7 linked regions of the Rattus norvegicus genome follow. The protein of the gene in region 6 binds, or shares a complex with, the protein of the main gene of each other region. Links are inferred from orthologs where the notes say so. Each region holds a gene or a part of one and is shown on either strand. Other genes may lie near its edges. The genes, in order: Phf10, Dpf3, Arid2, Actb, Pbrm1, Smarcb1 and Dpf1.

Region 1 (3,443 bases), on a different chromosome or scaffold from region 6:
GCTATTCCTGCTGCACCCTAAGAACATGCTTTAACTGTGTCCTGGACATCAGTAAAAAAAGATGCTAGGAAATTCACTTCTAAGATTGAGTCTTAACTGCTATAATATGCAGCAGAACTTTCAATAACCTGTCCTAATGTAAAAGATAAACTTAGAGTTTAAGTTAGACACTAGCAGAGTAAGTCCTCTAATTAATCTTTTACTAAAGCCAGGGAAGAAACCACACAATATTAAATTTTGAAAAGAGAATTCCTCATAGGAGACTCTTTACAAAGCAACTCAAAAGGAATAAAACACAAATTAATTCACATTCTAGAGCAATTCAAGTTCTACAATCACTAAAGTACACATAATGCCTATAATAAAAGGAGACACTAAGAAACTTCTGGGTTTACCTTTAAAATTATACATAATGTTCTGATAAATCACTTCAATTTTTTTTCTTACCCAATAATCTTCATCTTGTTGAAAAATATAGGAGGATGGGAGAGGGGAAGAGGGATGGAAAGAAAGAAAGGTGATAGATGAGAGGGCAGCAGTGGAAGCGGGTGAGAGACCACTGTGGCATTTTCTACAGAGATGCTACAGTTCAACACACAAAAGCACACTGTTCGTGCAGCACCCAGGCTCTTACAGGCCACAGCCTGCATCCAGGGCCTCACAGACAGACTGAAGACCAGCACTGAAGGAGGGAGGAGGACCGCCCTGTGCCTCACTAAGACCCTCTGATCACCTTTGCACACTGCCACAGCCTTTTAGTTTCCTTCAGCATCTCAAATAAAAGGCTTGTGTATGCTTTTCTTGTTGAAAAAATAGCAAATAAGTTGAAACTTCATGGTAGCACTAACATAGTATAGATTTTAATTATGTATGTGTAGGCCTGAGCCTAACAGTTACACTTTAATTTCAGGTTAATGTAACCTAAGCAATACCGTCCTACAAGTTGAGGGCAAGCACCAGTCATCCTATTCTATCACATACATTATGTTTAACTCCCATATTCTAAAGTGTGTGTCAGCTTGAAGTACCCTAATATTTAGGCACATCTTGGCTCATTAATACTTTCCATACAGAGGTTAACTTTCAATAATTGTGTTCACATTAATATATAATATCTATATATTGGCTGTTCCTATCTTTGAAATCCCTGAAACATTTTTAGTTACTAAAAATGTTTACAGATTAGAAAATGTTTATTTTGCATATGAGGCTCCCTTGAGTACTATTAACTAAGATTAATCTATATGATTTACTCACTAGATCAGTGATAATATGGATAGTTCTTCAGTTCCAGCCTGTATTATATGTCTGTTTCAATATTCTCTGTTTATAATGCATGATAAAACAGGCTCCTTGTTTAAACTTCCTCAGCCCGACAACTGTCACTCCCACTGGCACCTCTAAGACAGTGACACATACTGGCTCCTGCCGGCTGCCTCTAAAATGTAATCTTTGGAGTATTTTTGGTTTCAGTTATTAAGCAGTGACTGAAATCTTTAGTTTAAAAAGCATAAATAAGCTAGCTATACATGTAGAAAAAAAAAATCACACAGCAGCCTACTGAAGCTGTCCTCAGAATGAGTCCTTGCTGAGTGAGCCATCAATTGTGTGGCTATGCCACAAAAGCATGTTCTAAGCGGACACTGTCAGAATGTGTTCCAGTAGGGCGGACAGACAGTGACTCAGCTCACTTCACTTTTCTTTCTCTGCAATGTGCCGCTGTCGCAATGCTACCACACAGGTGTTTAATAACTCGCTCGGCGCGACTCTTACTCACAGCCTTCCTTTAGTACACCTCCATATAGTGACCAGATGGATATTCTAAGGCAGCCAAGACCAGGAGTGTATGCTGTAGCATCACTGTCCATGTCACAAAGCTGAAGACTACGTCCATTCCTTCTATGACCCTCCTACATCTCCTTGCACCAATACAGCTGCTCACCTCTCATCTAACTTCTCAAGGGGAGAGGCAGACAGAAATGTTAAAAATAATTAGAGTTTCTTATAATCTATGGCCTTACTCCAAGAATGATCAGATCCACAAACTAGGTTTTAGTTCTTGTAACAGAATGGTATATCTGTCAAAGGTTATACAAAAACAATGATGTAATTAACAGCTCTTCCTATTTTCTGTCCAAAACTTGGCAGAATTTGGCAATTGGATCCAACAATCCTTAGAATAAGCCTGATATTGTCAATGAAAGGCACTACAAAAATACCACCTCGTGTGGTTGTAAATCCAGCCCTGCTTCACCAACTGTTCGGATATTCAGAATGCTAGACAATTATGCCCTGCACTCAAAAAAAGGTTCTGCCTTGAAAGAATGTTTTAAAAACTCCTATTTGTCTGGTTATTACTTAAAGGGATGAAGTAATAAATTGTTTATATACAGGAAATAGAAGCTATACCATGACCAAAAGTGACAAGAAAGCCACCAGAGAAAGAAAGCAGTGGACAGGTGCACAGGACAGGATGGCGGAGCGCAGCAAGCTCAGCTCCTCAGGCTCAGAGTTAACGGTATGAGGGAGAAGCTGGCCAGGAAAGAGGCCAAGTCAGGGGCTTTTTTCTTCTACCTTGTACCCAGGAACTGATTTGGACAGTACAGAACGTTTGGAGCCGTCTTTTCTTGGCGTGGCCATTTTGTCTTTTGATTTCTGTCTTCCCTGGAAGGTGTCCTCCTGGCTGTCAGGGGGGCTGTCTCCTTCAGACACATTGCCTGAGGAGCTGTCCTGTAGCAAACAAGTAAAAGCAAAGGTTCCTTGGGATCAGGACCCAGTTGAGTCTCAATTTTTTAAATGACAGAAAACATTTTTTAAGCTGAAAGTTTTTTTCCAATTAAAAATATAAAGATGATTTTAAGAATTTCATTTCTAAATAGAGTAAGAAAAGCCATGTTAAATTATTTACCCATCTAATAATTATTTCTATTAGCAAGTATCCTAGTCAACTACTACACTTTCTGATGTAAGTCATCAAAAACAGAATTACCAACTCAACTATGATTACATTACAGCTCCAATATTTTCATACCACACGGATCCATAGTTTTATATTTATAGAAATACTTATTTTTCCTGAGTGATGGAAGTTATTGCAAAAGTCCTTCAAATACATAACCATGTTCAAACATAAAAGATCCAAAGCCATATCCCTAGCTATCCACGGCAGTATGACATACTATATTTGTTCAAGGAACAAGACCCCAGTATCTGACTATTTAATTCATTTTATAATCCAAGGCTTGCTGACAACTTTATATTCAAATAAATTATAAAAAGTGAATGAAAAAATTAAGTTATCCATATCCACCTGATAAGCATCCTGAAATGACTGGGCCCATGAGCATGTCTCCTTCTGGTTTCTCTGTGTGTTTATGTTCTGCAGAGCCCAGGCTCTCTCATACATACATACCACATATCCTCCTAATGCAGTTTCATTCTGG
Region 2 (3,500 bases), on a different chromosome or scaffold from region 6:
GGTCCCTGAGTTTGGACACTTGGTCCCAAGGTAGGGGTGTGTTTTGGTAGCTGTACAACCTCTGGGCAGAAAGGACTGGCCAGAGGAAATGGATTTCTGTTGGGGAAGATATTTTAATGTTGCTTCAAATGATTTAGTTATCCAATTTGCCCTCACAAATCTCTGTGGCTCCTCCCCTTTCCTGCCTCCGTGTCCCTCCCCTTCCTCGCTTCCCTGTCCATGACCCTCCCCTTCCTGCCTCCCTGTCCATGACCCTCCCCTTCCTGCCTCCATGTCCCTCCCCTTCCTGCCTCCATGCCTTTCCATCCACAAGGCTCAAGTTCACTAGCCCGGGCTTGGGTTGTATTTGGGTTTCTTTATTAGCTTTTGTCTCGGATGGCCCTGTGTTTTATATGTTGGGTATTTTCTCTCATTGTTTTATCTGCTCAATTATATCCTTGTTAAAGTTTTGTGGGTTTTTTTTTTTTTTTGCCTTGACATTATGTTTAGAGAGAAACACCATCACTTGTCCAAGAATACCAAAGATTCACAGACATAAAATTAACTGTTTAAATCAAATCACCAGCCTGCAAATCAGGATAGACTTTTATTTTTGGCTTCAACTTTGGGCATTGACTTGTTTTATCGTCGTCGTCATCGTCATCATCATTATATTAATTTTTTAGTTAAAATGTGTGTGTGTGTGTGTGTGTGTGTGTGTGTGTGTGTGTGTATCTGTGTGTTTATGCCACATACATGTGCTTGCCTGTAGAGACCAGAAGAGGACATTCAGTCCCTTGGAGCTGGAGTTACAGGTGGTTTGAGCACCTGACCTAGATGCAAGGAACCAAACTCAGGTCCTCCATAAGAGCAGTGAGTGCCCTTAATATCTGTGCCTTCTTTCTGGCCTCACTGTTATTTGTTGACAGTTTTATACACAGAACACATTCTCTAATTTCTCTTACCCACTACCACCTGTCTTATAGCTTGCTTACCCACATCAACCTTCCATATACAAGTTCCTGTCTCATAATCATGTCTCTTTGATTTGTGACCTACTGTATTTAACCACGGCTGCGTGACCATGGGTGTGGGGCTCTGCACTGAGGCCTAGTGGACTCACGTTGGTAGGCATACAATTAAAGACACAGTGACTTCCCTTTCCATCCCTCAGCAATTTCCGGTGTGGGGGGGTGTCACACCTTATTTTAAATACCACTTTTGCTTGTTTTTTGGCCAGAGAAAGCTATTTATCTTAAACTGTGGGCCTAGAAGATCTACACGTGTCCTTCCTTACACACTTCTCACAACGATGGCTGTATCTCCATGGGGCATCTCCTCTGCTCATGTAGTCTTTATCATAAATGCTTTATTCTAAATTCTCTGTCGTAATGGGAATCTGGTTGTACTTTTCAACTTATGAGAACAAAGTGTGGGGGAATGCTTAAAGAGGGGAGTCTGGCAGCTGGATATTCTCTCTAAGTCTGAAGCAGAATATTGCTACAGAATGTGCCACCTCAGGGACATCTTAGCATCTTAGGACAAGGCCGGGTCACCCTTACTGGCAGTTTGTTCTTTGGGGCCCACTTTAAAAGGATCTCTAAGTGACCTGGTAGATTTGGGACAGGAAATGGAATCTGGTAGAGATTTGGTGACAATTTGTATTTTGTCCCTTGATGGGGCTCTTGGTGTTCATTGGCATGATTGCCAGAAATGCAGTTTCTTCCTGGAGAGAGGGTAGGGGACCTCTTCCCTCTGGTTGTGTTTCTACTTCCTTTGGTTTCACTCTGTTGCTCTCTTGTCTCCTGTAGGCTTGGGGACCAGTTCTACAAGGAAGCCATTGAGCACTGTCGGAGCTACAACTCGAGGCTGTGTGCAGAGCGGAGCGTGAGGCTCCCCTTCCTGGACTCGCAGACTGGGGTGGCTCAGAACAACTGCTACATCTGGATGGAGAAGAGGCACCGAGGCCCAGGTAAGTCATTGCAACTCCCTGCATGCACAGTGGCTCCAGCTTGGAGGACGGAGTACTCTTGTGTTTGGGAGTCCACACAGCTGGGCTGGGTTGGGAGTTAGAAAAGCTATACTCACAGTGGAGAAATTTAGCTATGCATACAGTTTATCCAAGAGACCAGACAAAGACGATGCGAGGTATTTATCTCAAAGAAGTCCAATGAACGCAGCCTTCTTTTCCCATCCTTGGGTGTTGGCTAGAATCTGTAAATGTGTTCAGCTGTGGGTGAGGCTTAGTTTTGTCATCAGAACTCTGTCCCTGAGGCTCATCATCTGTGAAGTGCGGATAATCTTAGTATTTACTACATGGAGTTTATCAGGATTAAATGAAAATATCTATAAACAACTCAACATATTATATGCTCTAAAATGCTGGATATTATTGTTGTCATGACTGTGATCTAATCTTCTAGGCTTCTAAGAATAGAATAAAAACCCAATGGTGTAGGTTAGGGAGACAGCTAGCTCTAGGGACGCACTTTTCTGTGGTCATATTTATTTATGTTTAAATTTGTGTGTGTGTGTACATGTATGTGTTTAGACCTCTTCCCATGTCTGCATGGGGTACATGCATGAATCTCTGTGTGTGTATATGTATGTGTTTATACCTGTTTCCATGTAGGCATGGGGTGCATGAGTCTGTGTGTGTGTGTGTGTATGTGCACACATGTGCATGCATGTACATATACGTGTATATACCTGTTTCCATGTGTGCATGGGATGCATGTATGTGTGTGTATGCACGTGGGTATGCATACACATGTATGTGTATGTACTTGTTTCTGTGTGTGTGTGTGTGTTATACATGTGCATGCAAGTGTCTCCCTTAATTCATTGTTCTTCATCTTGTTTTTTGAGACAGGGTTTTCACTTTTACCGGGTGCTTGCTGATTCAGCTTGGCTGTCTGACCAGCGAGCCCCAGGGATCTGCCCGTTTTTCCCTCCCCAGCACTGGGATTAAAAGTGTGTCCATTTACATGGGCTCTAGGGATTGAACTAGGGTCTACGCTTCCATAGTAAGCACATTGCTGACCAAGCCATCTTTGTAAAACTTCTCCTTTAGTTTTGGTAGGGTCTCACATTTACCCCAGGCTGATCTCAAACTTTATATGGAGCCAGTGATGACCTTGAACTCCTCCTGATCCTCTCACCTCTGCCTCTTGGGCTGGGATCTGTAGGCCTATGCTGCCACTCCTGCCTCTATATGAGTATAATAAACAACTCTTTTCTGTTGTTTTGAAGAGTTTTATATTTATGTAAAACTCAGATAATGGCAAAGAAAACTCAGATTCCTCACAGCCAAGCTCCACAGCAGGCAACTGTCTCGTCGTCACCTTTCTCCCGACTCTGGATGATTTTGAAGTAGATCTGGGACAATGCATCATTTCACATATAAATACTCTGGACTTAATATGTCAAAACCATTGGGTGCCCCGGGACATGCCTGTAATTACAGTCGTTAGGAGGCTGGGACAAGAGGATTGCAAGTTTGAGGCTAGCCTGGGATACAG
Region 3 (4,166 bases), on a different chromosome or scaffold from region 6:
AACTGCCAAGTTCTGTGAACTCTTCAGCAAGAAGTCTGAAGTCAATCTAAGGCAGCCAATAGGAAGTCCACCTGTGCAATTACCCTGTTTCCTATTTCAGAATCCTAAGCGCTATACAGAGTGACTAGTGCATTTAAAGCAATATGAAACTAAAATTATGCAGAAGCTACATTGCAAATATAAAACAGGCTATCTTGTAATGTCACCATTACCAACATTCATTAGAAATATTAAGATCATTATTTTCATTTTAAATAATTAAGGTTACTGTGGTAATCAAAGAAAAATAAAAGTTTCCTTCAAAATAAAGTACAGCATGAAAGTATAGGAGAAAATCTAAGAAGAAACCACTAAGTCACAAAATACATTATCTAACTGGATCGTATAAACAAGAAATTGACTTTCTGGAGTAAGCAGTCAAAATATAAGGAAATGAAAGAAAATTCCAACTATAATACCTGGTCTCAAACCATCCCCGTATTCCTAAAGATACTGGATAATTTTAAGTCGCTCAAAAGTTCAATAAATAACAAAGGAGTTCAAAAAGTTAATTCTGATCAGCCAAGGTATCTACATTGAATTATTTATGAAAAAATATCCCATTAAACGCAGAGTAACAGTTCCATGCAGTAAGTTTTCTTTAAACAAACAAATAAACAAACAAAAAATAAAATAAAATAAAAACCCATGAAATTGTAGGCGGTTAAGGGGTTTCCAAATAAAGAAGGGGGGAAAAAATCTTCCCACAGGTTACAAAGTTTCCTTAAGTATCCCAAGTCTTTCACTAAGCACCTTCTTTTCTGGCCCTCAGTGGCTACCCAGCAGTCAATAACAATGTCACAAAAGAATGTTTACAAGATAGGATATGGATTGTCACCTGTAATGGCTTTGTATGAAAAATATAAACGACTGTATTTTTAACCTGAGGAAAACTTCAGACTCCTACCATCTCAGTTTATTGACAGCAAATGCTTCTCAGAGTGAAATTAACAAGGGATTGGAAACTGTCTAGAGCTTAGATTTTGTTGTTTAATTGCCCCGAAGTCCCTCGTTTGCAAATACTGGGGAAAGACGCCACTACTCACCGCAAGTAATACTGTTTTAAAGCAAAGGCAGCGTTAGAACAACTTCTGGGAAAGTTGAACTCTTCAACAATTTCTCCCCACTGATTCTTCTCAGAAACCTGTTAAAAACACAGGCACACTTGTCTGAAAGTGCCCAATCCAAGAAAAACCTACCCTAACTTGGAAGCTAAATGACCCTTCTGCAGAGATCTGTGGGTACCTAAGGATCAGTGGGTGTCTGGGGTCGAGCCACAAGAGTTACCAAGCCAGGGCTGCTTGAATCACTGTGTTTTCACCAGAAAACCCTGTATTTAGCAGCACTTGTTTTGTTTTTGGGGGGGTTGGTGGGTTTGTTTTGTTTTTGAAGCCCGGACAATAACCAATCGCAAGTCCCTCTGTCGCCCCCTTTTAAACCTCAACGCGGTCCGTTTACACTAAAGAAAAAAAAAGTTCAAAAGGATCAATACTGCTCCGGACAGCGACGTCCGCGGGCTCTGGGGGGGCCGGGGCCGGGGCCGACTCCGATCCCTCTCCCAGATCTATCCATCTCCATAGGCCCTTCTTTGAGGCCTACAGCTTCTGCCTAGCCTTGAAGCCTAAGATGGCTATTTGCAGACAGGTCCTGCTTTCTTTTGTTAGCTGTAGAAAGCCAGGGCGAGCGGGCCGAGGCTGTGCCCCCGGCCGCCGGGATCATTTCGCAGCCGATTATCGATGTTAAACCTGCCCGCGCTAATTTTGAGTTGCACGAAAACTGCTCAGAGTCTGTGTGTCTCTGTGTCTCCGCCTGTGCTAGAGCGGCAGCGGCGGCGGCGGCGGCGGCGGCGCTGACTCGCGGGCGGGCGCGGGGCGGGCGGGCGCGGGGCTCGGCGGGCGGGCGAGCACTCTGCTCGCCCGCGCTCCCCGCCGCGCCGCTCAGACCCCGCGGGGCCGGCCGGACACCGGGCAGGGCGCTCCCCGCCGCCGGGCCGCACCGCCCGCCCAGCCCCGCGCCCGCCGCGCGCACGCGAGCCACCAGGCCGAAAACAGCCCCGCCGCCGGCCGCCTCCGTGCCACCGGCTGCGAGCGCCGAGAACGCCGTGTGCCCGGCCGACCGCCCCCCCGGCCCCGGGCGCCGGCTCCCGGGCCGGAGCAGACTTTTCCGAGCAGGCCAGCGAGAGGGAAATACAAATTAAAACTTCCACTCACCTTCGCGAATCCGCCTAAAGTAGTGACTCTGGTGTAGAGCCCGTGAAGATCCAGCTCCTTCCCACCCACCGCAGGGATCTTCTTAAACGGCGACCTGCGGGCGACAGAAAGCCCCGCACTTGTCACCGGGACCCCGCGCCCGCCGCGGGCCCCGTTCGCCCCGGCTCGCCCCGGTGCTGCCCCCCCGGTCCTGCTCTCACCCTCTGCTGTGGTGGAACTGCCGCAGCTCGTCCAGGAAAGCCAGTCCCTTCCTCCGCTCGTCCGGAGGCGCCTTCCCCGTCGAGTTTGCCATTATTTTGCCAAAGGAGGTCTCCCGAAAACCCAGATCGCGGTTCAAACGCGGCCCCCGCTCCCCGCGCTCCCTACCAGCGCCCGGAGCCCATTCCTCGGCCGGCGGTGGCGGGGCTCAGTCATGGGCCGGCGGTGGCGGCGGCGGCGGCGGCGGCGGCGGCGGCGGCGCAGGGAGGGAGGAGGGAGGGGGAGGAGGCGAGGAGGAGGGGAAGGAGGGAGCGGGAGGCCAGGGGGAGCGCAGGGCCGGAGGGAGGGGAATTTCTAAAAAAGTTTAAAGAAACGGGAGCGAAACTAGAGGGGCAGGCGACGGGCGGCCGGGCGCGGAGCCGCGGGGCGAACGCGGCCCCCACCCTGCCTCGCCGCCTCCCGCGGCCCGGCTCTGGCCGCCTCTCAGCGCCGCCGGCCCTGGCGGCTCGGCCCGGGGACGCGATTCAACATGGTGCTGCGGCCGGGGGCGCACGAGCCGGCCGGGGGCCGGGCGAGCGGAGGCGAGGGGCCCGGGCGGCCGCAGGCCTGGGAGTTTCGGCGGCGGCGGCGGCGGCGGCGCGGCGGGGCCGGGGCAGGCGGGGCCGCGTGGGGAGGGGGAGGTCTGTGTGGTGGCTTGTGGAGAGCGGGGTGACAGCGTGGATCCGGGCCGCGGCTCCGCGGGGCCCTCGCACACATTCACGCGCGGCGGCGGCGGCGGCGGCCCGGGAGTCCCCGGGCACAGGCTCCGGCGGCAGCCGAGCCGCTGCGCGCCGCCCGCCCGCCGGCCTGCCTGCCCGCCAGCCTTGCTTCTCAGCCGCCGCCACGGCCGGGCCGCCAGCGCCGCACAGCGCCCCCCGAGGGCCGGCCGCGGCACTGCGCCTGGCTCCACACGGTCGCGGCGGCTCCTCGCGGGGAACAATAGACTCGGCTCGCCCGGCTTAGGGTTCATCTGCAATGTGCAGCACATTTCACACGCACACAAAGCGGGCGGAAAGGGGGGCGGCGCGGGGAAACGGCCACTACCGGTTGTTCCGGGGTTAGGGGTGGAGGCGATGTTCGCGTCCCCCGGCGGACGCCCGCCGGGCCTCCCGCCACACGGAGGCTCGCACGGCGGCGCAGCCCGGGCGGTCGCGGAGAAGTCCGCTCGCCCCCTCTGGAGACGTTTCTAGCAGGAGGCGTCGGCCTCTGGGCTTCATGCTTGAAGGAAGCCCGATGAGCACATGGTCCATGATGGGGCCGTAAACTCACTTTGACAAACTGTGGGATCAAATAGGCTGGGAACTGCCTGCCCTACTTTAGTGGAGATAGAGTAAGGCTTTTAAGTCGTCCTCCCGTTTTTGGTCGGTTTGGTGCACCCAACAGGAGGTATGCAAACGGTCATCGCGCCTGTTGGGGAAATAACCTCCCAACTTTGAGAATAACATTGCTTATGGAGGGTTTTTTTTTTTTTTTGCACTCGTATCTGAAAGAGGGCAAAATGTTTTCACCCCTTCAGTTTTCTGTGTTGATTCTTTTTTTTTAAATGTGTAAATAGGGAAATAAAAATTTTTATTCTAGAATAAAAGCACCACTTAAATTTGTATCGACCGGGTGTTGGAACCCTCCCCGGTTTACAAAGGTTGAGCATCATGCTTCCCCTTTGGTGTATTAGGATTCCCA
Region 4 (3,983 bases), on a different chromosome or scaffold from region 6:
CAGAGTACTTGCGCTCAGGAGGAGCAATGATCTGAAGAAAGCAAGACAGTGATTGTGAGCATTCTGGATGCTGGGTTGTTCCTTAAGCCAAGAGAGTTGGCTACAACTACAGGGCTGACCACACCCCACTATGGGTCCAGGCTAAGGCTGCTTACCTTGATCTTCATGGTGCTAGGAGCCAGGGCAGTAATCTCCTTCTGCATCCTGTCAGCAATGCCTGGGTACATGGTGGTGCCACCAGACAGCACTGTGTTGGCATAGAGGTCTTTACGGATGTCAACGTCACACTTCATGATGGAATTGAATGTAGTTTCATGGATGCCACAGGATTCCATACCTGAAAGGAAAAGCAAGAGAGATCAGACTTACAGTGTGGCCTCCAGCATTGGTCACCTTTAGATGGAGAAGGGATGAGACTACAACTTACCCAGGAAGGAAGGCTGGAAGAGAGCCTCGGGGCATCGGAACCGCTCATTGCCGATAGTGATGACCTGACCGTCAGGCAGCTCATAGCTCTTCTCCAGGGAGGAAGAGGATGCGGCAGTGGCCATCTCTTGCTCGAAGTCTAGGGCAACATAGCACAGCTTCTCTTTAATGTCACGCACGATTTCCCTCTCAGCTGTGGTGGTGAAGCTGTAGCCACGCTCGGTCAGGATCTTCATGAGGTAGTCTGTCAGGTCCCGGCCAGCCAGGTCCAGACGCAGGATGGCATGAGGGAGCGCGTAACCCTCATAGATGGGCACAGTGTGGGTGACCCCGTCTCCGGAGTCCATCACAATGCCAGTGGTACGACCAGAGGCATACAGGGACAACACAGCCTGGATGGCTACGTACATGGCTGGGGTGTTGAAGGTCTCAAACATGATCTGTAGAGAAAGGAATACAGTATTGTCAAGCTCCTAAAGCCACAAGAAACACTCAGGGCAGGTGAGACTGTAAGGATAGATTTGAGTGAGACATGCAAAGAGGGCAAGAACACAGCTAAGTTAAGTGTGCTGGGAGTATCAGGACAGGGGCTCCATTTAGACCTACTGTGCATCTACTGAATACACACTCCAAGGCCATTTATCACCAGCCTCATTAGCTTTGTCACACGAGCCATTGTTAGTACCTACACCCACAGCACTGTAGGGGTTTAAAACACCTAGTCAGAAAGGCGATCGAGAGAAAAAAAAGACCTCATCTGGGAAAGAGCAGAAACTGCAAAGTTCCAAGGGAGACTCAGCTCATAGAAGAGAGTCCTATGGGAGAATGGCAGAAGAAAGACAATTGAGAAAGGGCGTGGCTGAGAAGTTGGCCCAATAGAGGGGAGGGGTCACCCAGGATACTGACCTGGGTCATCTTTTCACGGTTGGCCTTAGGGTTCAGAGGGGCCTCGGTGAGCAGCACAGGGTGCTCCTCAGGGGCCACACGCAGCTCATTGTAGAAAGTGTGGTGCCAAATCTTCTCCATATCGTCCCAGTTGGTGACAATGCCGTGTTCAATGGGGTACTTCAGGGTCAGGATGCCTCTCTTGCTCTGGGCCTCGTCGCCCACGTAGGAGTCCTTCTGACCCATACCCACCATCACACCCTGCGGAGGAGAACAACGTTCTCAGCACTGGCATCGACCCCCAAGAAAACCCTAGGGCTGCCACTCCCAAAGTAAAGGGTCACTTACCTGGTGCCTAGGGCGGCCCACGATGGAGGGGAAGACGGCCCGGGGAGCATCGTCGCCCGCGAAGCCGGCCTTGCACATGCCGGAGCCGTTGTCGACGACGAGCGCAGCGATATCGTCATCCATGGCGAACTATCAAGGCACAAAAGAGGGCTATGGTCACCGCGGAGCCGCCAAGAGCAGCCGCTGCCGCCCTGCCCACTTCCGGCAAGCCGCGGCCTCGAGCCGCCAGGGGGCGCGCGCCCAAGCTCAGGGGACAAAGGAAGCGCAGGACAGCCGCATTATTACCATAAAAGGCAAACGCTGGCCCGGAGGCGGACCCACGGCAGGAAGCCAGGCCTCCGCCCCCTCCCCAAACGGGCACAGGCCCCGCCTACACTGAGGCGACGGGCGGCTAGTGCGCGCGCGGGAGGCGACCACACCCAGCAGGAAGCGCGAGCAGGCGCCCTAGCCGCTACGACCCCGCCCCTTCCGGGCAACGGCCCCGCCCTCGCCCAACCCGGGGCGGCCGCGCTCCTAGTCTCAATACGCACGCGCAACTCTTAACTCGGAAGAGGGGGAGAGGAAGAGTTCCCTCCCCAGCGCGCACGCGCCCCAATGCCCAGTGATAGAGCGCGCACGCGCAATGGCATCCCAGCCCCCACCCGGCCGAGCCGGCCCCGCCGCGCCCGCCAAGCCGAATGGGCAAAACCGGTTTGGACAAAGACCCATAGGCCATCAAAGCGTGATTGTAACGCCTGACTCCCAATACTGTGTCCCCTCAAGGTGGACAGATGCGGCTTAACACCCGCAAGCCGCACCGGCTCTCCAAATGCCCACACCGCGACTCTAGTGTGTCCCCAAGCCCCGCGCACCAAGCAGGAGCGTGCCCACGAGTGTCTACACCGCGGGAATACGACTGCAAACACTCTACACCCTAGGCGGAAAGTTAAGCTTTGCCAGTGTCCGCTCCGCGGCCCGGTACCACGCTCCACCCCTCTACGGTGTCCCTTCTGAGTGTTCCTCACGATCCTGCAGCGAGGTAGTGGCCAAGGTAAAGTTGGGGCCCGCTGGGCCCGACGTCCCTGCTTACCTGGTGGCGGGTGTGGACCGGCGACGGAGGAGCTGCAAGAAGGTTGTACTCGCGGGTGGACGCGGACTCGACAGTGGCTGCGCGTTGCGCCGCCGGGTTTTATAGGACGCCACAGCGGCCACTCGAGCCATAAAAGGCAACTTTCGGAACGGCGGGCGCTGATTGGCTCCGCGTCGCTCACTCACCGGCCTCGCCGCACAGTGCAGCATTTTTTTACCCCCTCTCCCCTCCTTTTGCAAAAAAAAAAAAAAAAAAAAAAAAAGAAGAAAAAAAAGCGAGCGAGAGAGAAAGCGAGATTGAGGAAGAGGATGAAGAGTTTGGCGATGGGTGCTGGTTCCGTAGGCCCAGATGGACAAGAATAGCCCCCGCCCTTGTGGACACTATCCCATTCAGTGACTCGGTTACTAGGCCTGTATTCTGGGGGTCACCCACCCACCCCAGGACCCTCTGGGTGTGGATGTCACGGGAATAATGATCACCTAAGTGGGCGAGGGTCAGCTTGAAGGCCCGGACCCTATTTGAGTGGCCTTTTGTTTGAGGGACACACGGGGTCTGGATTGAATGGGCAGAGAGTCACTCCCCCTTGCTAGCAATAGTCAGGAAAGCCAGATCTGGGGGCCTTCTGCTGCAGTTCTAATTTGCTAGGTGTGTTGGGGTACAACTTGGAAGCAGAGCTGTGGTTGGGAAGGTCTTCAGGGATCTTGACCACTCAAGGCCAGAGTCCCAAGGATAGGGCAAGCCCCGGTGGTCCAGTGACTGGAGGTGTTTGTTGCAGGAAGATGCCTCCAGATATCCTCTGCCCCGGACCTAGAAAGGAACTGTGCTCAATCGAACAAGCAAAACTTCTCATGGAGTCCGGCACTTTTGGAGGGCTGCCTGATCACACCCAGGCAAGACTAAGCCTGGGCCGTTAGCTAGTGGCTCTGGGTGACTGCCAGGCATCGTTGGGCTGGAGCCCACCATCTAGCCTCTATGTATTATGTGCAGCCACAGCTGAACTGTACACTGAACTGTTCATCTGCTGGCCACGGGGACTCTGGGAGTGACAAACTACTCAGGGAAGTGCTGGTGGTCACCAGAGCCCCAAATCCTCCAGAGAGAAGAACCCCCTGCTCTCCTCACCTAAGTAGGAGAGTTCTGCTCAGGAAGCTAGCCATTTGGCTGATAGCTACAGCAGGGGATCAGAGTTGAGGGTCGGGTCCCTCAGCTTAGCTTAGAAGGACGCACAACTCCTGGGAGAGAGTGACAGAAAGCT
Region 5 (3,500 bases), on a different chromosome or scaffold from region 6:
CCATTTCCTCAGCTACCTTTTTGATCCCAGCACTCAGGAGGTAGAGGCAGGCAGATCTCTGTGAGTTCAAGGCCAGCCTGGTCTATACAGTAAGGTCCAGACAGCCAAGGCTACACAGATAAACTGTCTTGAAAAACCAAACCAAACCAAACCAAACCAGACCAAACCAGACCAAACCATTTCCTGGATTTTTGTATTGATATTCATCCTTGAGATCAGGGCAGTCTTCTGTTGACTTCTGTAGTGTGTGGAATATAAATATAGTTTGCTTGGGCTTTATACAATGAACTAAGAAGGGTTTTTGTTTCCACACTATCAAATAGTTTAAACAGCATTTTTTTTTTGGGACAGAGTTTCTCTGGGTAGTCCTGGCTGTCCTAGAACTTGCAGTGTAGACCAGGCTGGCCCTAAGCTCAGATCTAGCTGCCTCTGATGCCTGGATTAAAGGCATGTGCCACCATGCAGTTTTTAATTATAGCAACCACATGAACAGTTAAAAAGAATTTACTTACTCGGTCCTCACTGGACCACCTCACTGATCTCCTAGATTTACGTTATGTTTATGAGTATTTTGCCTGCATGTATGTATGTGCACCAACTGTCTGCCTGGTGCCTGCAAAAGTCAGATGCCTTGGAATTAGAATTAGAGGTAAGCTCCATGTGGGTGCTGGGATCAAATCTGGGGCCTCTGGAAGAGCAGCCAGTGCTGCTAAGACATTTCTCTATCCTCCATCCTCAGTTTACTTTTTAAGATTTATTCATTTATTATATATAAGTACACTGTAGCTGTCTTCAGACACACCAGAAGAGGGCATCGGATCTCTTTACAGATGGTTGTGAGCCACCATGTGGTTGCTGGGAATTGAACTCATGACCTCTGGAAGAGCAGTCAGGTGCTCTTAACTGCTGAGCCATCTCTCCAGCCTCAGTTTACTTTTAAATACTACTTTAAATTAACTTTTTTCTTCTTTTTCTTTTCCCTTATGTTCTTCCACTTTGACCAAGGTTTTATACCCTCAATCTTGTTTTTCTTTTTTGTTTGTTTGTTTTTGTTTTGAATTTGAATACATCAATTCACTTTCTGGAATAGATATTTTAAGGTTAAAATTCTTGTGTAGGTGGCTACTACTCATGTACCTTTTCCAAGTTAAAGCTGTCTTCAGCCCGATTGTCATCTGAGTTGTCTGTACTCTTCTCCTCATCCCCTTTGTCTGCATTTGCAAATACAGAGGCCACTCGGACCACAGGCAAGGGCACGTCCCGAGGGACGAACCTAACTGAACTGATGGGCATGGTCCACAGTTTAATCTTCTTAAAAGACTTGGTTTTGGCAGAATACCTTGATTCACAGACAAAAACATCCTCATCGCGGAAGGTTTCTGGACATAATTTAAAGTATTCCTGGGATGGGAAGAATAATACAAATAAGTAAATTTTTTGAAAATTAACTCAAAAATAAAAAAACCCAAATGTTAATCAATCTAACATTGAACTATAAAAACTTCCCGACAATAAAAAGTAAATGGCCAGATAAGTAGGTATCTCCTTGGCTATGTTCCCTTTAATTATAAGTTTTATTTACTTAGTCAACTGCCCTTTGAAAATATATTACTTTCATATAGTTAAAATGTCTTAAAGCTCTGTACAGGTCTCATATGCATATATGACAGATAATGCATTTTATTATCTAGAAGCAAGACTGGAATTTGGTAATGATTACCTTTCAGAAAATATCATCCTTGGAAATTAGCCCAGTAACATAAAAATGTTAATACTATTTGTATATAGATAAACTGAACACAGCAAATGGTCTCTAAGTATATTCATGTTAATTTCTTATATATAGACACAGAATAAAGAGTTTGAAGTACTTTCTAATATTGTAAATACAGATTTTTATATTTTTAAATTGTATTTCCAGGGAATGATATCGTTGAATCAATGAGTTTCTTACCTTGACAAACATGACCACACATTTGCCTAGAATTTTACTAACAGGGACTTTATTGTAATAGTCACTCTTAAAAACTTCTTTTTCTAGAAATTTTCGTGTAGCCAAATGGAATGTTTCATTTGGCCGATAGAACCAACAGCCGTATAGCCATTTTTCACCTCAAAAACAAAGAAAGGAAAAAAAATTATTAACAGAAACCACATATTCTTTGCAAAACTAGGAAGTATTTTATCAAGCCATTATGCCAAGGCTGGTTTTAGATGAAAATTTCTTAATAGAATTATTTTAGAGGAAATAATATTTTAAAACAAAGAAGCACAAAGAGGCCTAAAAAACCTCATTTCACCCTTCAGAGACATGCAACAGAGGAGGAGGTGAGAAGGGCTGCTCTGTGCTTCACTGAGCATGCAAGGAAAGGGAAGGACATTTTTAGCAAAAAGGTGACAGAATCCAAAAGCATTCACCTGACTGGCAGCTTAAAGAACTAGACTGCCTGCATTACACTCGTACTTCTTGTTGGCTTCATTCTTAACGCCTCAGAGGCAACTTTCTTCTTACATTTCTTTTAGATTTCTGTTGAGACAGGTTCACTGTAGCCTAGACTGGCCTCAAGCTCATTCTCCTGCCTCACCGTCTTGAGTTTTGGGATGGCAGGCATATGCCGCCAAACCAGCTTACAGGCATTTCTAAAGGAAGGCTTCTGGCAATAAATTCTAAGCTCAGTTACACATTTGTGACATTCACTGGAGAAAATCTGCTAGAAAAGAACACGAGTCTTGCTCTTCTGATCTCTGCCATCCTACACAGAGCTTGGCTCTAAGTAAATTACAGAATAAATTACTGCATAAGTGACTCTTCCCACCCATTAAGAAGTTACATTTCTGACTCAATCGTGACAGTGCCCAAAACTGCAAGATCCCACGTTTGCATATGGTTAGGTGGTTAATTATATTTATTGACACATTGAACATTAAATTTATTGATGTAATTATTGTTGAAAGGCTTAAATAGGAGTTAAAAAATTTTCTTCTTGATGATCAAGGAAAAAGAATTTAAACAAATGTACATGTGGGGCTGGAGAGATGGCTCAGTGGTTAAGAGCACTGACTGCTCTTCCAGAGGTCCTGAGTTCAATTCCCAGCAACCACACGGTGGCTCACAGCCATCTGTAATGGGATCCTATGTGACAGTGTACTCATATAAAATAAGTAATTCTTTAAAAAACAAAAAACGCCTGCACGTATGTGTATCATGTGTGTGCCATGTGAGGGCATCAGAGCGCCTGGAACTAGAGTTAGGGGTGGTCGTGAGCCATGACGTAGGGACTGAGAACTGCAGCCAGGTCCTTGGCAAGAGAACGTGCAAGAGCGGCACGTTCTCTTAGCCACTGAGCCATCTTTCTAGCACCTGTCCTTCAGTGCAAATCAAACTTACCAGCTGAATCTTCCCATAGTCTCTCAATACAGACTATATGTGGTTGTAGATTGGCCTCTGCAGGTTCAACATAGACATAATCTCCGACGTGATACATACTATTCTTAAAGCT
Region 6 (3,500 bases):
GCCTGGGCTACATGAGATGCTTCTCAAAAAAGTTCTTTTAAAGTTCCACATATACACATATCCATACATACATACACATTCATACACTATACACTACATACATACATACATACACATTCATATACTATACACTACATACATACACATTCATACACTATACACTACATACATACATACATACATACACATTCATACACTATACACTATATACATACATACCTACATACATACATTTAAATCTATTGTTTCTTTTGGGAATTTATCTAAGTCACCATTGGTTTTTTTTGATAAATGAATCCCAATTTTGGAATATTACATTTCAGAACCCAAGTCTTGGCCCGTTTCTTCAGAATTCCAAAGATACAGAAGAAACTTAGAAGCCCAGGTCAGGCAATTATGAACTCAGCGAGGAAAGGGTTGAAGGGCAGTTCAGCTCAGCTCAGTTCAGCTCACTTTAGCCTGCTCTTGAGGGTGGGAACGCCCGCCTGCCCGCGCATGTCCCCGGAGCACACTAGGATTAGAAGACGTACCTGAGGTAGGTTGGGGGCTCTGTGCTGATGGACACAGCCTTGTACTTCTCGTCATTGCCGTCCAGAATCTCTTCCACCTCTGAGGCTTTCAGTAGCGTCACGCTGGTGGCCAGGGTGGTGTATCCATGGTCTGTAAGCAGAGAAGCCCCAGTGCGGTCACACTGCTGCAGTGTGATGGCTGCCAACCATCGATACAGCACATGAGGTCCTCACATGCAGGAGGCGGGAAGCGAGGTGTCAAACTCTACTGCTGAGTGCCAGCCTCTTCCAAAAGGGCGAGCAGCCTGAGGCTTGGCCTAGACATTAGAGAGGAGGAAGCCTCGGCAGGATGGATTTGAGGAATTCACCTCCTAAGAGCATTGGCTCGGAGGCAGAGATGTCCGGGGCAGCTGCAGCTCAGGGGCTGCCAGGAAGCTGCCGGACAACACCCCAGTGGGAAGAGGTCTGACACTGCCACAATCTAAACACAAAGCAAGGACGAGACAGATGAAAGATGACGACTTTTCTTTTAAAACAAGAGCCCAGAGAGTTGGAAAGAAGTGTTCGCCTCAAGCAGGAGTTACCATGCCTGAGCCAGTGCAGATGTGCTGTCTGGAAACCAAGACAGACTTCATCCAACGTGAGTCCAGCTCTTCTAGGGGCCTTTGTCAAGAGCTGCCAGTTATCTGCAGGACCTGCTCAGCTTCACAGGAGGAATCTCTCAACCACAGGGAGGGAAGGAAGGAAGGAGCACAGCAGAAAGACCAGTGCGACTTCATAGGAACTCAAGGAAGGGCAGGCAGAGCTAGGCAGGCACCATGCTAGTGACCGTCCTCCACTTGTGGCCCAAGGGATACAAACGAAACTGTTTTAGGCAACAGTGGGTCTGTTTTAGTAGTGAACAAAAGCAGCTCTGGCTCCTGCAGTAAAAGAACCCCAATTTACCACAACAGACAAAACTACATCAGCACCTACAGACGAGACAGACGACAGAGTGCTGGGGAGCACGCATGCTTGCATGCACGCACACATGCACCCAGGCCCAGGGCAGCTCTCTACAGGGTGCCTCTGCTGAGTGGAGAGCAGTTTTGCCACCTGCCAGATGGCATGCTGCAGCCACACCCAAGCCCATAATCTAGAGGCGCCAAGACTACGAAGAGCATGTGTCATGCTGAAGAGCTGCCACAGCCCAGAGCTTGCCCTAGGTTTGCTGGCATCAGATGGCTCACCTGGCAAGCCCCAGGCACAGGGCGGGCCACGGAATGGGTACATGCACGTGAGCTCAGCACGCCGGTTGTCAACATGAAGTAGTACAGACAGATGTGCTGTGGGAGGGAAGCGGTGACAGCCCCAGAGGAGAGAGGGCTGGGGCCACCGTCTACGGCCGCAAGGATGACTACAGCGACACACTCAGCAAATGGTAGCAAATCTCAGCATTCCTAAAACGTTTTGAGACCAACATGTCTTCACAGCACCTGCTACTGCCCTGGCCCAGCCCCTCACAGACCCGCTGGCCCAGCCAGGAACACACAACAGGGGAGTATGAGCCACTCTCTCCTGAGGCCCGTGTGCACTGGCAGGGTGGCCCGCCCCGGGATGCTCCCTACCGAACTGAGGTCAGGCTGCAATGAAGACACTGGAGTGAAAACGTTTTATCTCCGTGACATAAGCGAGTGGTTTTGAAACAGGTTTACAAACCCTCGTGAAGACGCACCCTTAGTGTTAGGTTTTGTTTTTTTACCATGTGACGATGCCACTATTTTCTTCCTTTCTTCCACAGTGGCTAGTCGCCGCCAGAGTGAGGGGTATCTCTTGTACAGAGAACCTCGGAACATACGCAGGTAGTTTCCCACCTATGGGTAAAGCAAGAAGGCTCATTATGAGGGTCGGGCTACCTACCACCATGCCGAGACAATGCCTCCAGACGCCGGGCTTTCAGGAGTCAGCAAACACATTCTGCTGACATCAAGGGTTCAACAGCAGTGCACATCTGGCTGGCATCTGTGTCTCCTGATCCCAGAGCTTAGTAAGAAGCTTATGATTTTGACCTGACTAGAGATGTTGGCACTTTTCTGAAATCTAAGACTCCTGTGACCTTCTTTCATCTTAAGAAGCGACTTTGATATTTTTACAAGGCAATAAACACCAAAAAGTTTTTAATTTTAGACAGATGTGAGATAATTTGTCCTGTTGCCTATGTTGCTTTGTTTAGTAATAAAACTCAAAACAGAGATGCCAAAGAATTTTCTAGAGTCTAAAAAAAGTACTGTATTAGTAATCCCTAGCCTAGCCTATAAATCACTACTTCCCCAGTAACAGCCTCAGTCTGTTTGTAGCAATACAGTAAGCACGGCCCCTGATTAGACGGAGGCCTATGACTGTTTTTAAGATGCTCTACGGTCTCACTGACTTCAGAAATGCTATCTTCAGAGTCACACTGTGGGGACAACCAATAGACGGGTGTGAGGTGTTCACTCTGGCAGTGAGTCTAGGCCTCTCTGTTCACCCATCGAGTGCTTAACGACCCTGACTTTTCCCCTAAGAGATTCTCACTATGCAGCCCTGGCTGGCCTGGAACTCACTATGTAGACAAGGCTGGCCTTGAACTCAGGATGGGCTGGCCTGCCTCTGCCCACTGAGTCCTGGGATTAAAGGTGTGCACGGCCACACCAGGCCCTCAAGTCTGGATTCTGCTTCAGAAAGGAACAGTTCTATTATTCTTTTCATCGTATCTACCTAGCATAGTGTACATTTATGAAGTGAAGGTAGTTTCTGCACTTTTCTTCCAGAAGAGATTTATGTAACCCACAGCTAGAGTGCTGAGACCAAGAGTCTATACGCAGAACAGCAAAGACTCCTGGCTGCTGTTTGGTTTGTGGGTCACTATCACCCAAAGGTAAAAGGATGGTTTCCATTCACTTTTAGAAAAAAGTTAGCGATATTGTCGATCTTTTTCCCTAGAGTCTCACTGCATAGCCCTGGCTGGCCTGG
Region 7 (3,500 bases), on a different chromosome or scaffold from region 6:
TGTTTTGAGACGTCCTCCTGTCCTCCACTTTTAGCCACACCCAGGACAGGGAATCCCAAGTGACAGCCAACCCGGCTGAGGTGCAATCTCCGAACCCTAGCCTGGGAGGGGGCTGCCTTCTGGTCTCTCCAGCCCTCCCTTCCCCCCAAGTCTTCACTCCCACCTCCCTCTTTGAGCTGCCTCCCGCTGCAGCTGCAGCAGCCCGTTGCTATGGCAACCACAGCTGGCTGGGTGGGAGCCCCTCCACCCCATCCCCCTCTTCTCTCCAGCAAGACAGGGAGGAGCTGGGACAAAGCCAGAGGGAGGCATGGTGTAGGGGCAAAGAGGTGGGGGCCAGCCACAGTGGCTTCTACCCCAGTGAGGCCCCTTGACTTCCCATGTTGGTGACACCCCAAGAGAGGTTAGAGATGGAAGCAGTTGTGGGCAGAGGGGTCCGGCCCAGTTTAATACACAGAACAAGTTAATTCACAGCAGAGGCAGGCAATAAAGGAGACTTGGTGGCAAGGGGGGTACTCCTGGGTTGGGGGGCAGACTCCCCCAGACCCTCCACCTCCCCCCACTTGCAGTCTCAATTTCCCTTTTTTAAAACCCGAACAACAAACACACACAACCACGAGAAACGACCACACCTCCTTGCCACCCCCAAAATGGCTAGCGATGGGGGGAAGGAGGCAGCCCAGCCTGGCTGGGTAGGGAAGGAAAGGGTTGAGAAGGGAGAAAGAAAGAAAAAAAAACAAAAACAAAAACAAAAAACAAAAAACAACTGAGTCCATTGCAATCTGTGCTTCTTCTCATTGCAGCGGGCTGGCTGCCTGCCTGCCTGCCTCACCCCACCGGCCTCCCCCAGCTGCAAGCCCCAGGTCTGGCAGGCACCGGGTGGGCGCAGGGCGGGGCTCTCAAAGGAGGGGCAGGAAGAGTTCAAAACCATGGTTCACATCATGCAGTATCCACGGTGGGTACCGGGAGGGGGCAGTGTGTGGGCACCATGCCCACCTGGCCTGGCTGTGAGGAAGGTGTGGTACCCACCTCAGATGGGAGTTGAGACAATTGCAACTCCAGAAATGGGGTGGGGAGGGGCCATTCAGGAAACTGGTAAAGTCAGGTCCCAGCAGACACTCAGTGGCCCCCCACCCAGCCAGGCTTAGAGGAATCTTTGTATATATTAATTTCTTTTTTTTTTTCCTTTTTTTTTTTTCACGTTTTGTCTTTTTCTTTAGAAAAAGGCTTTTTCCGTGCCACTGGCTGGCATCCACTACCCCTCTATGCCCGCCCAGAGGCGGGGTATGGCTTTGAGGGGAGCAGAAGCCTGGTGCCCACTTGTCAAGGAATGAAGATGGGGGACAGGAGGGACCCTGCTGGACCCACCCTCCCTCAGGGTAACATTCCACTTGCAGAGGGAGACCGCCTTGGCCCCTCTCTGGGCTTCACCCTATCCCTTCCACTGGGGACACCAGGCGGGAAAAGTCAGGAGCTCCAAGAGGCCGAGGATAGCACCACCCAAAGGTCCTGGAGAAGCAGAGCCAGGTCTAAGTCAGGGTGATGTAAGCGGAGGCCTTTTCTTTCAAGTGCCGGAGACAGAGGTGGCAACTCCAGCTCCCTGCGGGGGAAGCCAGTGAGACAAAATTAGACTCAAGCCGATGAAGAGCGCCCCCCCCACCTGTCCCCACCCAGAGCACATGGTCTCTGCCACCAAGAAGACAATGTTCCAACCCACCCACCCCGTGTCTCACCCATCTCTTCCCTCACCTTCCGGGGGCTCCGCCATGGGAGGGCTCAGGCAGTACATGTGGTAACCCCGATCGCAGTCGTCACAGAACAGCAGCTGGTCCTGGGGGGTGAGACCCGCCCAGCTGGCACCCTGGGGGCACGGGCACCAGAAACCGGGGTGGGGGGCTGGGGCAGGGGCTGGGTCCCAGGGGCCCTTATGAGAAAACTAACTGGCCTTGTCGCGGCTCACACAGTGTGGTCTGGATTCTGTAGCTACAGAACGCTGAACGATGTTCAACTAGCCAGAGACCAACTTGGGACCAATATATAGGTTCGAATGCTGGCCCTACGACCTTCTGAGCTTGGCGACCTCAGGCGTCATTCTCCCTCTCTGAGCTCAGTATCGTCTCTGTGTAGTGGGAACCAGAGCACCAGCCTCAAGGGAGGCTGGGAGGCATCAAGGGGAAGAATATGACAAAGGAACACTAGGGACGATGGTGACCGTAATGCATGCTAATGCTGGTCACCCAGGGGTTATGAACAAGGAAGGCTTTAGGCTTCACGAGCAAAGGTGGCAGAGCCAGGCCGGAAGGGAAGCTGGGGATGTGCCCGGGAGGTGGGGCGGGCACTCACGTCATTCTCCGAGGTGCCACACAGGCTGCAGGACTTGCATTCGATACACTGCCAGCGGTAGGTCCGCACGGCTGCGGTCATGTTCACCGTGAACTGTAAACACGAGGGATGTCCTGGGGGTTGAGGGGCAGGGAGGCCGTTAGCGGAGTCGTTGTACCTCTGGTGGCTACTGACACGTGGGGAGGTAATGGCTCTATCCTCAGCCCCGACCCAGAGGTCAAGGTGAGCTCTGCAGTGGGACCCTAACCCTGAGACCAACATCCGGAAGCTCGACTGTCGGGCAAGCAGCCGTGTGTTGGCCACCACAGTCTCCTACTCAGCCACCATGACAACCACACTCTGCTCCCCAGAACACCATGGCAACCACATTCCATTACCCACAGTGCTGTGGCAACCACGTTCTACCACCCACAACACCGCGGCCACCACAGTCTGTTAAGTATTGCGCTAGGCAGCCACATTCCAATACCCACAGCAGAGCGTCCAGCCCTCCTGTTAACCACAGCAACGTGGCAGCCGACCTCTGCCAACCAGGATGCTATGGCAACTGAGTTCCACAACAGGGTCCCCACACCTTGCTTCTCTGAAAACCAAAGGCCATCCCGCACCAGGCACCAGCAAACGAACTTCCTCTGACAACACTCGCGGTGTGAATCGGCTCAGCCATTCTCCCACGGCGCGAAGGCACCTGTAGCCACTGCCCACAGCACCCAACGGTTACAACTACATCTCTCAGAGCCAGACGCCAGTAGCCACAGCACTCTGCCCACAGCACATCACAGCCACAGTCCATCATCCACGCTGCTCAAGTGACCAGCCTTACTACCCAGGAGGCCTCCATGGAAAACCACACTGTATTAACCACAGTTCTACAGCACACAATCCTGCTATTCACAGCACCCAGGTGGTGCAATTGCTCCCACACCTCCGTCCCCTACCCACAATGCCTCCCTAGCTTCTCTCTACTCTCCTTGCCGGGAAAGCACAAAGCCAGGGCACCTTGTACTGTTGGTTCCCACTGTGCCAGCAAGCCTGCTCAGTCTGTCACAAACCCCTGCAGCAGAGGCAGCCCCTAGGACAGGCTAGGGACAGCCCCTTACTCGCCTGCCTCCCACTCCCTAAATTCAGATTCTGAGATGTCCTCCTCCCGCCTCCGATCT

What was found.
Region 1: Smarcb1 (region 6) and Phf10 share a complex: the UniProt entries of both Homo sapiens proteins name them as parts of the neural progenitors-specific chromatin remodeling complex. The link is inferred for Rattus norvegicus from reciprocal best matches to the Homo sapiens genes SMARCB1 and PHF10.
Region 2: Smarcb1 (region 6) and Dpf3 share a complex: the UniProt entries of both Homo sapiens proteins name them as parts of the BAF complex. The link is inferred for Rattus norvegicus from reciprocal best matches to the Homo sapiens genes SMARCB1 and DPF3.
Region 3: Smarcb1 (region 6) and Arid2 share a complex: the UniProt entries of both Homo sapiens proteins name them as parts of the SWI/SNF-B (PBAF) chromatin remodeling complex. The link is inferred for Rattus norvegicus from reciprocal best matches to the Homo sapiens genes SMARCB1 and ARID2.
Region 4: Smarcb1 (region 6) and Actb share a complex: the UniProt entries of both Homo sapiens proteins name them as parts of the BAF complex. The link is inferred for Rattus norvegicus from reciprocal best matches to the Homo sapiens genes SMARCB1 and ACTB.
Region 5: Smarcb1 (region 6) and Pbrm1 share a complex: the UniProt entries of both Homo sapiens proteins name them as parts of the SWI/SNF-B (PBAF) chromatin remodeling complex. The link is inferred for Rattus norvegicus from reciprocal best matches to the Homo sapiens genes SMARCB1 and PBRM1.
Region 7: Smarcb1 (region 6) and Dpf1 share a complex: the UniProt entries of both Homo sapiens proteins name them as parts of the neuron-specific chromatin remodeling complex. The link is inferred for Rattus norvegicus from reciprocal best matches to the Homo sapiens genes SMARCB1 and DPF1.

Annotation. Positions count from the first base shown.
Region 1 is NC_086019.1:64,628,316-64,631,758, forward strand, and holds part of Phf10 (PHD finger protein 10), read right to left. Parts: intron 2,731-3,443; coding exon 2,575-2,730; intron 1-2,574. UniProt on the Homo sapiens protein: Involved in transcription activity regulation by chromatin remodeling. Belongs to the neural progenitors-specific chromatin remodeling complex (npBAF complex) and is required for the proliferation of neural progenitors.
Region 2 is NC_086024.1:108,734,626-108,738,125, reverse strand, and holds part of Dpf3 (zinc finger protein DPF3), read left to right. Parts: intron 1-1,790; coding exon 1,791-1,951; intron 1,952-3,500. UniProt on the Homo sapiens protein: Belongs to the neuron-specific chromatin remodeling complex (nBAF complex).
Region 3 is NC_086025.1:129,325,005-129,329,170, reverse strand, and holds the start of Arid2 (AT-rich interactive domain-containing protein 2), read right to left. Parts: upstream 2,801-4,166; 5' UTR 2,542-2,800; coding exon 2,450-2,541; intron 2,344-2,449; coding exon 2,250-2,343; intron 1,184-2,249; coding exon 1,086-1,183; intron 1-1,085. UniProt on the Homo sapiens protein: Involved in transcriptional activation and repression of select genes by chromatin remodeling (alteration of DNA-nucleosome topology). Required for the stability of the SWI/SNF chromatin remodeling complex SWI/SNF-B (PBAF).
Region 4 is NC_086030.1:16,775,481-16,779,463, reverse strand, and holds the start of Actb (actin, cytoplasmic 1), read right to left. Parts: upstream 2,801-3,983; 5' UTR 2,729-2,800; intron 1,789-2,728; 5' UTR 1,783-1,788; coding exon 1,660-1,782; intron 1,573-1,659; coding exon 1,333-1,572; intron 867-1,332; coding exon 428-866; intron 338-427; coding exon 156-337; intron 32-155; coding exon 1-31. UniProt on the Homo sapiens protein: Actin is a highly conserved protein that polymerizes to produce filaments that form cross-linked networks in the cytoplasm of cells.
Region 5 is NC_086034.1:6,285,933-6,289,432, reverse strand, and holds part of Pbrm1 (polybromo 1), read right to left. Parts: coding exon 3,389-3,500; intron 2,113-3,388; coding exon 1,955-2,112; intron 1,402-1,954; coding exon 1,138-1,401; intron 1-1,137. UniProt on the Homo sapiens protein: Involved in transcriptional activation and repression of select genes by chromatin remodeling (alteration of DNA-nucleosome topology). Required for the stability of the SWI/SNF chromatin remodeling complex SWI/SNF-B (PBAF).
Region 6 is NC_086038.1:12,743,948-12,747,447, reverse strand, and holds part of Smarcb1 (SWI/SNF-related matrix-associated actin-dependent regulator of chromatin subfamily B member 1), read right to left. Parts: intron 2,363-3,500; coding exon 2,251-2,362; coding exon of another isoform or gene 2,224-2,250; intron 661-2,223; coding exon 531-660; intron 1-530.
Region 7 is NC_086019.1:93,740,342-93,743,841, reverse strand, and holds the end of Dpf1 (zinc finger protein neuro-d4), read right to left. Parts: intron 2,454-3,500; coding exon 2,341-2,453; intron 1,859-2,340; coding exon of another isoform or gene 1,829-1,858; coding exon 1,747-1,828; intron 1,598-1,746; coding exon 1,527-1,597; 3' UTR 417-1,526; downstream 1-416. UniProt on the Homo sapiens protein: May have an important role in developing neurons by participating in regulation of cell survival, possibly as a neurospecific transcription factor. Belongs to the neuron-specific chromatin remodeling complex (nBAF complex).